Drosophila melanogaster: one gene and its partner. The gene in region 1 interacts genetically with each later gene. Each region holds a gene or a part of one and is shown on either strand. Other genes may lie near its edges.

The links.
Region 2: of Trpgamma (region 1) and Calx, changing one suppresses a phenotype caused by changing the other (phenotypic suppression), as found in Drosophila melanogaster (one study listed by BioGRID).

The regions. Positions count from the first base shown.
Region 1 is NT_033779.5:16,673,589-16,678,787, forward strand, and holds the start of Trpgamma (transient receptor potential cation channel gamma), read right to left. Parts: upstream 3,114-5,199; 5' UTR 2,983-3,113; intron 1,965-2,982; 5' UTR 1,835-1,964; intron 1-1,834. Other genes in the region: her (hermaphrodite), read left to right, coding at 3,795-4,661, 4,730-4,993, 5,055-5,199. UniProt on the Drosophila melanogaster protein: A light-sensitive calcium channel that is required for inositide-mediated Ca(2+) entry in the retina during phospholipase C (PLC)-mediated phototransduction. Forms a regulated cation channel when heteromultimerized with trpl.
Region 2 is NT_033777.3:20,976,427-20,981,254, forward strand, and holds the start of Calx (Na/Ca-exchange protein), read left to right. Parts: upstream 1-1,756; 5' UTR 1,757-2,694; intron 2,695-4,828. UniProt on the Drosophila melanogaster protein: Na(+)/Ca(2+) antiporter that couples the energy of a Na(+) electrochemical gradient to the movement of Ca(2+) against an electrochemical gradient across a membrane, which contributes to the regulation of cytoplasmic Ca(2+) levels.

The DNA of each region.
Region 1 (5,199 bases):
CCCCTTTTCCCCTTCCGTTTGTGGATTTTGTTTGCGCTTAAAAGCTGTTTAACTGTCCTCCGCCCCACGCCACCTTTACAATTGTGTCCAAAAAGTAAGCAGTTTAAAAAATGTATATATTTAAAGATTCAAACAATTTAAGTCCAAAAATCAAGTAAATTTACCGAAATATATTTGCAATTAAACAAACAACTATTTAATATAATTGTATTTATAAAGTATTCATTATCTTTCAATTCGAGTCATTTAAAATTAGTAGATACTTCTTTTTTGTAGTAAAGAAAACTCCGAAAATGAATACGAAATTAATGTAGTATACTGGAAAATTTGCAATTGCTTAACTTACTATTATTATTTTGACCTCCACAGTATTTATGCGAGGATTGTTATAGTTACGCTTGTGTGCAGTGGGGCGTGTACGTTTGTGTGTGTGTGTGTATCTGTGTTTGTTGGGGGTGCAACATGCAAATGAATCAAATTTCTTGCATGTGTTCGCCGTTGCATTGGTGTTTGTGCCTCTGTTTGTTTGTTTACATGCATGAAACAACTGAAATGCAACTGTATGCACCCAGCACAAGCACTAATGCCCGTGGAAACACACACCTGAAACCAGAAAGTAGGTTAACTCGTTCTTACGGTTCCAGTTTTGCAGTAATGCACGAAACGCGACTGGCATATAAAAAATATATAAGAACCCTTTCTTAGCGCAAGATTTTGGAGAAAGGAAGTTAGTTCGATTTTAAAACACAATATAAAGGTTGTCCTAGACGAAGAATTCTTCGAGTTATATTACCTTCCATAAATTTATAACGATATCTTATAAATTATAACCCAACTGGAAAATATCTTTCGATTTAATGTGCCGTCTGTGATTTCTCAGAATTAATTCTATCAATAAATTTACTTATCTATTTTTACTGCCTCATTCATGTTTTCAAAATATCATTTTGTTTGCCATGTTTATGGTAAACTTTCGTTTATTTGAATCATATGGCTTTGATTTAATACATTCTTGCACATTAAAATACGAACTTTACTTTAGATTTAAATTATTTTGAATAGCCATGGGGAATGCACTCGTGCCAAATGAAGAATCCAAGTGATTGTGATTCCATTGATTTCTTGATTGAATAAAAGCGTATGCTTCTAATAGCACCTTTCAAACTAATCAATCGGAATTGTTGTTATTTGTGCAGCATTGAGTCTTTGCTTTCAGCTCCTCTTTTATTTGCCTCATTTAAATTAAGCTAATCAAACACAAGCGTCGACTAGCAACACCTCCAGCTTCCTCTGAACCCAGATGAAAATATGTAGATGAAAAATCTTTGGACGCAGTGCGTCCTGCGACCTTCTCCTCCACCTCTTAGAATAGAAGCCCCTGCATCTGGTAATCGAGAAACTGGCACAAGTGGACACTGAAGAGTCATCGACAGGACGATGATGGGGATGCAAATGCCGACGAGAATGGGAATGAGGATGAGATTGAGTATGAGTACCCAACCTGGACAAAGGGTCAAAGGCCACTGGGCAAACAATGCCGGAGCAGAGCAACAAAGTAATCAATTTTATCACACAAAACACGAGTGTTTTCCTTTTACTCAGGCAGCAAATATGCAAACTTTTCAATAAAAGGAATACTAATGGGTTATTTGTTATCCACTAGCTGACAGTTATTATTTTAAAACGAAGTTCAATGGTTAATAAAATGGAGCAGAACTTAGAAGGAAGCCATTTCACACTTGGTTCATCATTTATTTTTTTTTATCCATAACCCTTTCAATGTAGTAATGTATCTGAGAATATTTCCCTGTGTACGGGGCACACCTTCACTCACCTTGAGTTGAGATTTCCTCTTGAGGGCGGCAATTGAACGAGTTTGCTGTCGTAGAACCTCCAGTGCAGCAACGAGGTCAGAGGTCGAAAATCAAAACGAAATTGAAAACTGATTCCGGCCAAGCCAATAGCTGAAATCATCCGAAAAAATAAAAATATTGATGCCACGTACTTTGAAACTCTCACGAAATCGGATTTCATTTTCGAAAAGTGTTATACTCTAGCAATATCTGGTGTATACATATAGTAGTGGCTTTTATTATAAAACTTGTCATAATTAAAATGAAATTTTATAAGTTTGTTCAAATATTTCTATATTTAAGTAATTGATTTTAAGTAATCACATTTTTGTCATTATATATCATAATTGCAAGAGCATCTAAATACGATTTCCCCGACACGTTTTGCTTTAATTGTTTACGTTTGCGGGAGGAACGGCGCGAAAAAGATGAAAAACATATCGTTTGAATTATAAACAATTTGCAGCGAAATTCGTTTTCAATATTTTCATTTAATTTTCATGATTGGTTTGTTTGGCGTTAATTGCACGTTTTTACTGACTAATGAGTGGGTGATAGGCTAGGCTAGCCGATTAGTTCATTTTCGAAATTTTCGAATATTTTGGAATAATTGCGGATCTGTATTTGGAGGTTTCTCTTTCACTTGGAATAACCTTGCGCAATTTGAAATTTGTAACATGTTGGGAGGGGCTTTTCACTGCATATTTCCGTTTCGTGCTCTGCAACCGGAAGTGCACACACACACACACACACACACTCATAGCCAAAACCACCACACCAACACACTCAAGTACTTTTTCATATATTTTTTTTCTACGGTTTGGTAACTTTTAAGAGGGTGTTTGACCCATAAATGAATTTATGCCAATTTAGAACGGCAAACACAGTTGTGGGCTTGGAAAAACTTCGGTTAGGGGGATTAAGCATTGGGCGGGGGCGTTGGCTAACCAATTAAAGCGAGTTTTTTTTTTGGGGGTTGTTTATTTATTTAGTATTCCCTGTTGCTTTTGCAGGGGCAGCATAACCGGATATATTTGTGCAATTATTTTAATGGCCTAGGCAATAACACAGAAACACACACAAACACACAAATGACTAGTGGCTAGCCCATTTTTTATTTGAAATTTACTTTCTTTGCTCGAGCTTTTCTTTTGCCTTTGGCCAAATAATTTTGGCTTTAATAATTAAAAGTATTTTGGGTTGCCCGCTGTTTTCCGAGTTTCTCGTGCGCCTTGGCCAGCAGTCGACTTGCAACTGAGCAAGTGAAAAAGTCGAAACAGCTGAAAAAGTGCAAGGACTCCCGATCCCAAAACCGATTCCTACAGACCAGACGAACTCTGAACCGAGTTTAAATGTCTGTGGGGGTATTTCTATTCAATGGTGGCCCCAAAAACTCAATGAAAACGGCAAGCCGGCTGCAGGCGATGCAGCGCGCATGTGTCCTGTAGTAAAACGGCGGCAAGGATAATGACCTCTTCGAGGTGCAGGTCGCTTCTGCATGGGCGAAAAAAACCGTTGGTGGAAGGTAAGAATTTCTTTTAGATTTTATATTCCCTTTTCTACTTGATGTTCTCAAATTTTTTTTTTTCCTTATTCCCAATTTGTTAAAACCTCACTTTACAGCAATTTTAAAAAGTCCGCGCAACATAACAGCGATTAGGAACACTGTCACTGTAATAATCTTTGCAGTACTTTTTTTGCGGTAGTTGTGAATTTCGTATCCCGTGACTTTTGTTGAATAATCGATATCAACGAACAGTAATCGATATGTGCTCTAAACAAACAAACATGTAATTAAAATTAATTAAAATACGGACAGTTTGTTTACCCCAAAACAGATAGTTTAGTGATCCACCGAAATGAGTGTGTTCCCAAGATATCCAAACACCAGGCTAGACCTGTAGCATTAATAATATTGTGGTCTTATTGTGGACTTTTGCAATGCTTAGTGCGGATCGGGATTCGGTGGAGGAAGAATATGGATCGTGCTCGGCCTGGAAATTCCGTTGCAGCGTGGACAGGTGCCCCTACAGGACGAACAGACCCTACAATCTGGCGCGTCATGAGGAGTCCCACATTGGTATTACGCAGTCCAAGCTATACGGATGCCCCGTTTGCGTTTACAACACCGACAAGGCGTCGAACCTGAAGCGGCACGTGTCTATCAAACATCCTGGGTGCAAAAAGCGCCCTCCGGAAGCGCAGCACAAGGATCGCAATGCCAAGTTGCAGTGCCTGGTGATGGGATGCAGATACGAGACAAATCGTCCATACGACCTCAAGCGCCACTTGATGGTGCACAACAATCCGGAGAAGAGCCACAGGACGTTTAAGTGCTCCCTTTGCACCTACAGCTCCGACCGAAAGGCCAATCTCAAGCGGCACCACGAGCTACGCCATTCGGGCATAGAGGAGGCCATTCAAACTGCGGAGGAACTGCGCCAGGAGATGCTGCTGGAGAAGCAAATGCTGAAGGAACATAAGCTAAAATATCAGATCACAGAGAAACAGGATTTGAAGAATCTAAAGTTGAAGGACCAAAAGCAGAAGGTGCAAATGCTGAGGGATCAGCAACCGAAACAAAGGCAAAAGAAAGAACAGTTGCTGGAGGACCAGAGTCCTGTGCTGAATAAGCAGCTGGAGCACGGAAATATTCCTTTAAAAGAAGCCCTGGTAGGCAGTATGAAATACGACGAGGAAAGTTTGGAATTTGTTTACGAGGAACTGCAGGAGGAGGAGCAGCCGCCCATCATCACCATTAGCAACCCGCAGATTCTCCATGGAGACATCCGGGATAAGCACGTCATCGTAAGCATTGCAAAATGTAGTTGTTAAATTCGCTCTTCAATCATTAACAACATTTACAATGTTTGCAGGCTGTCAACGTTGATGGCCAGTTGCGATGGTTCCAGTCAATAGATCCACCGCCGGGAGCTCCAACAAAATTGGAGCTGCCCATAAAGAGCACTTCAATTTCTGTCCAGCAGCAAATGGACGAATTAGACGATGAGTTGGCCATGTCCCTTGCCGAAGAAGATCAGCAGGATGAGTTTCTTGTGCCAATGCTGAGCGGAGAGGAACCAGTTAAAATAAAACAATCATCGCTGACCGATCTGGCTTGGAGTTGGAGTACGCCGGATGTAAGAAAGAACTATAAACGAAAAAAACGAACTTTTCCTAACAATGTTTTTATCACTAAAGGCTGTACATCACATAAGTCCCAAAGCGGAACTCAAGAAGGACCTTAAAGCTGGCGATGCAGATACAGATTTTCCAGATTGGTGGGATGATGGCAAGTACACAAAGATGCAAAAGAACCAAACATTTGCAAAGCACTCAAAGAAGC
Region 2 (4,828 bases), on another chromosome or scaffold:
GTCGTGCCAAATAATCATACACATCCGAAATAAAAATCGCGACAGTTTTATGCCTACACACCAACTGGAAACGAGGCTATAAACATAAATATATTGCTCATACGCCCCGTGTTCACCCCTGCCGAATGAGTTGGGATCCGTAACGAAAACAAACAGAAAGCGGACGAAAAAAAATGGACGCCAAATACAAGGTAGCAAAAGGTTGTGAGCGCACACACTGGCACACATGTTCCTGTACTGTACTGTACTTACAGCAATGGCGTGCAGCGTTTGCTTCTCTTTCGCTACTTTTGCTGCTTTCGCTGCTGCTGTTTCCATTGCTGCGTTTATATGGCCATAAGGCTAACGCTATTGTCGCGGCAGGTCTCTCAGGGGCAACATGGGGAGGTCGTTGCGACAGCGGCAACATTTGGGTCTTATTAATTTCCGTTTTGCTTATTTATTTTTACGACGCCTCGCACAGCTCGCCATTCGGTTCGCAGTTCTGGGCCCGTCAGCAGCCGAACCGCCGAGCCATCCAGGTCCCCAAATTCTAACGCAGTCGCCATAGTCAAAAGAACATTCGTAAGGAATTCCACCTTTAAAGCCCCGGTGATACCCTACGATTATTTAGAGAGGCATATTACACAACCGTAGATGGGGAGTACTAAAATGTTAATTCATTGCTTAATTCGATTGCCTTAATTTGCTGCTTTAGCTTTGATTTAATACATGAATTATAATAATAGAAGAGAAGAAGATTACTTTAAATTAGGAAAACTGATTTATAATTAGAAAAAAAAAACTACAAAATATTATTATTTAACTTTTTAAGTGAAGTTTTTATGGCGCGGTATTAAAATATGTATAGGTATTAAAATAAAATGCATAAGTGACTTGAAAAAGTTCGTAGGCGTGATGCTGCATAGAGAGCCAAGTAAAAAGGCGCAATCAACTAAATCAAAATTATACAGGGGAAAGCCATTTATCCGGTAAAACACATACCAATTAAGTTATTTTTAAAAGCTGACTTCAATGCGATCAAAAGCTTTCTAGCCAATTTGAGTTGGAATTGGCGATGTACTTCTCAAATTTGGTTTTGAATATAAATAAATATATATATTTAAATAAAATGTATATGTTGAGATCAATACTGTACTTCAACGCGTGAATAATATCATATTTTAAGCTTAAGAAATTATAAAACAATACAATTTTCAGAAATAAAAGATTTGGCCACGTGAACCTTTATTGGGTGTTGAAAATTTATATTTTTTTGCACCCCGATCTGCTAGTAATCACTTTCCCTAACGGTGCTTATTGTTAATAGACTATTTTCCAAGCATAGAGTACAGCAACTTGTTTCCAACCGACTTAACAGGGGCGTCAAAAACTTATGCGCTTGCTTGTCTAAGACAGCGGGTGGTAGAGGAGGGGGTGTGGGTGTGGGCTATACTAACCAGCAATGCCTCTACACCACCCTCCCCGCCAAACCTTTACACCCCCTGCGAAATGCGCCACTGCAACGAGAGGAAGATGGGGAACATCGGAGAGCGACAGCGAGAGAGAGCGGCGCAGTTGTTATCGCCTGGCCAGTGTTCCACTGCCACTCTGTTCCTTATCCTGTGCACTTTCTTCCTTATCTGTCCCGCTTTCACCGCCCTCGCACTCGCCACTCTCACTCTTCGTGTGCATTTCGGGTGCCCTTCGTGTCGCGACAATCGGCATTTTTAAAGAGGCAGTCGGCCAATGTGGCAGTCGGTTACTGGCTCGCAGGTTAGTCTTTCATTATCCGGCGTTTGAGCGTGTAACGTTTTCTCCGTGATTTCCACACGCAGCAGCGGTAAATACAACAACAACGACAACGAAAGAAGCAACCAAAACAATAACAACAACAATAGAAGAGAACAGCGGCAAACGGTTTTTCGCTGCGCTTCTCCTATTTTAAGTGCCGAGCGTTTTACTATTTTTACTACACAGCGAAACATACACAGATACACATATATACAGAAATATATGTAGGTATTTGTTGATGTGTTTGTTGTGCTTCAGTCAACAATAAAAACAAAAACAGTGTTTAAAGCTAGTGAAATGATCTTCCATAAATAAATTTTCAAAATTAATTTGAGAGCAAAAATGAATTGAAAGAAAATGCCAAGAAAGTGCAGCAAAAAATCAACAACGATGCTGTCGGAGAGTCGAAACTAGGCTAAATATCTTTGCATACTTTTGGGAAAGTTGTGCGGTACAAACACACACACCCGTTCGTAACACACACACACAGGACCTGCGCCTGCGGTCGCCGACTTTTGAACCTGTTTTCTGACCATTGACCATTGACCACCGACCGCCGTGCCGGCCGCCTCTTTTCACTTTTGGCAACGCGGACTGCAGCAGCCGCTGCAAAAAATGCAACTGTAAAGGAAGCTGCAAGAAAAGGAAAGGATGTGCACGAAAACGGCATAAACCTACAAAACTAGCCAAAAGAGTTCAGAGCGGTGCGGTTCAACAGCCTCCGGGTGTTCGTGTCAAGCTCGAAATTCGCAAATTCGGCGTCAGCTTCGTGCATCTGTATCTGTGTATCTGTATCTATATCTGGTGCATCTGTGTGCGGCCATTCTGCAGTTGCAGCTCTGCAGCGGCGAAAATTGTGTCAGCAGCATCGGCAGCGGATCCTGCAGCTCGCCACACTGGCGCCTCCATCTCCGATTGCCGGTAATGTATTCGTTTTAGGCGCATTCTACCCAAGCACGACTTAATCATACGCCACATGTGAAGTGCCGTGCGGTATGGCTAAGGCATTACGCATACGCCCCGTGTATGTGAGTATGAATAGTGCGGGCGGTCTTACCTTGACAACGGACGGGGGCAGTCCGTGACAATTGTCAGTTTGTTTTCCCATTTTCGTTTTTCTATCGATTAAGCCCACTGGCCCCTCGTTCGCCCTTTGTCTGCGAATTAGCGACAACTTCTGGGCCAAGCAGCATATGGCTATGTCCACCGTCTTTGTCTAACGCCTAATTGAGTCTTTTGTGAGTATCAAGAGACGAGCAGCACCGCAGAAGAAAAGAAAAGCAAATGGGGAATCCAGTTGACATCGGCATAAGTTCGAGTTTTAAGTTCCCTTGTGGACAGCTGGTTTTTGGGCTTTCTCGACTATCACATACCATAACTGCAATGGACTTTTTTTGGATCATTTTTCAAATTCTGGGCGTTACATATTTTCTTGATCATGATCGACTCGGCTTGTGATCCGGAAATGTATTTACTGTAGAGGATATAACTAACTATAAATAAAGCTGTATGGCATCCTAGCTTTGATTCTTACACGCTGTAAGAAACGAATGTCAGTAAGGGATATAATGTTAACATTCCAAAAGGCACGTCTCCCATATGAACATATAAAGTATATTAAGACTCCCAAGAAAAAGTAAAGAACTTCGCCAGAAAACGTTAGGCTTATGATTTCAGATTTCAGAGCATTAAACCACAAATGATTATTTATATGAAGTATATTTTACTGTCCCGCTTAGATGAAATTTTTCGCTTATACTGTAGACAGTGCCTAAAGTATCATGCCATCTGATAGGGTATCCATAGAAAGGAACCAAAGAAAACAATCAACACGGAGACTAGTAAACAATTGAAAAGCAAAAAACCCGCGACTCCTGCCCAAGTCGGCCAGCCCCTTGAGTTCTTTTTTCATTCATAGGACGATGGGTGGTAGCATTTGCCTTTGTCAATATCATTCAAGCTTTCATTCGCTTCACTTGCCTGACATTTGCTTACCATTTCAGTTTAGAGTTCACTTTGTTTCCCTTTGTACAAATAAATAGCCATTTATTCATTCACTCGGTTAAGGGGCTCCTTTTCACTGACCAATGAATGAAGGAAGGTCGTCCCATAAGTATTTGTCAATTGGACACAAGTTACAATGGAACTCAGTTTGGGGCTTTATATCTAATCAAACTAAATGGCAGCCATTAACTAGCTAGCTTAATCAAGTACCCAACATCAGCATGACTCGAAGCACTCAAAATGCTCGATTTTCTGATTCTGATAAGAGGAATACCTCGGGTAATTTAAAATTGAGTATGCAGCATATTCAGCGAAATGCAGAAAATCCAGATGAAACAAGATTTTGGAAAATTCATTTAATTTATGGCTCCGTCAATTAAAAGCAACAGACCACACAGCCAAACCGCAGTACAGCTCTCAGATGAAAATTCAGCGCTTTAAAGGCTTAGAGAAAAGTGGCAGGCACTCAAAAGCTTAGGCCTTGCATACGTAGCAGCCGCAAACAGTGGCGAAAAATTCTACTTTTTTCCATTTTCGGTGTGTGGGGCGACCAACTTTTCTAACTAACAAAAAAATAAACCGCGCACATGTGTACACAAAAGAAACTCGACGAAGAAAACTGCAAATATGTAACAAGATTCGGTCATGTTTGATTCATGAAACCAGCAGAAAGTTCCAGCCCCTCACCCAATTGAACAACAATGGTGAAATAAAGTTACAGTTGCTGTGGCCACGGCAACTGGAAGCCAACATTTCGCACAATGGCGCAGAATCAGCAGCTTTAGCAGCTGCCGTGCTTCCGGAAAAAATAGAGCCCCAAAAAGCATACTTTCGAGTGTAGAGTTTATGCAGGATTCCGTTGCAGCAGAGTTAATCATACATACGTCCTGACAGTAACAAATCTCCAGCTACGAGGCATAAATAAAAAAAAATTCACCCAGCTTCGCTTTACATATTTTCCTGTTAGATTTACCGTGTATGTGGGCATCAAATTGCGCATACGCCCAGTAAGCCGTCCAGATGGGCAGATCTGCAGGCAATTTGATTATGG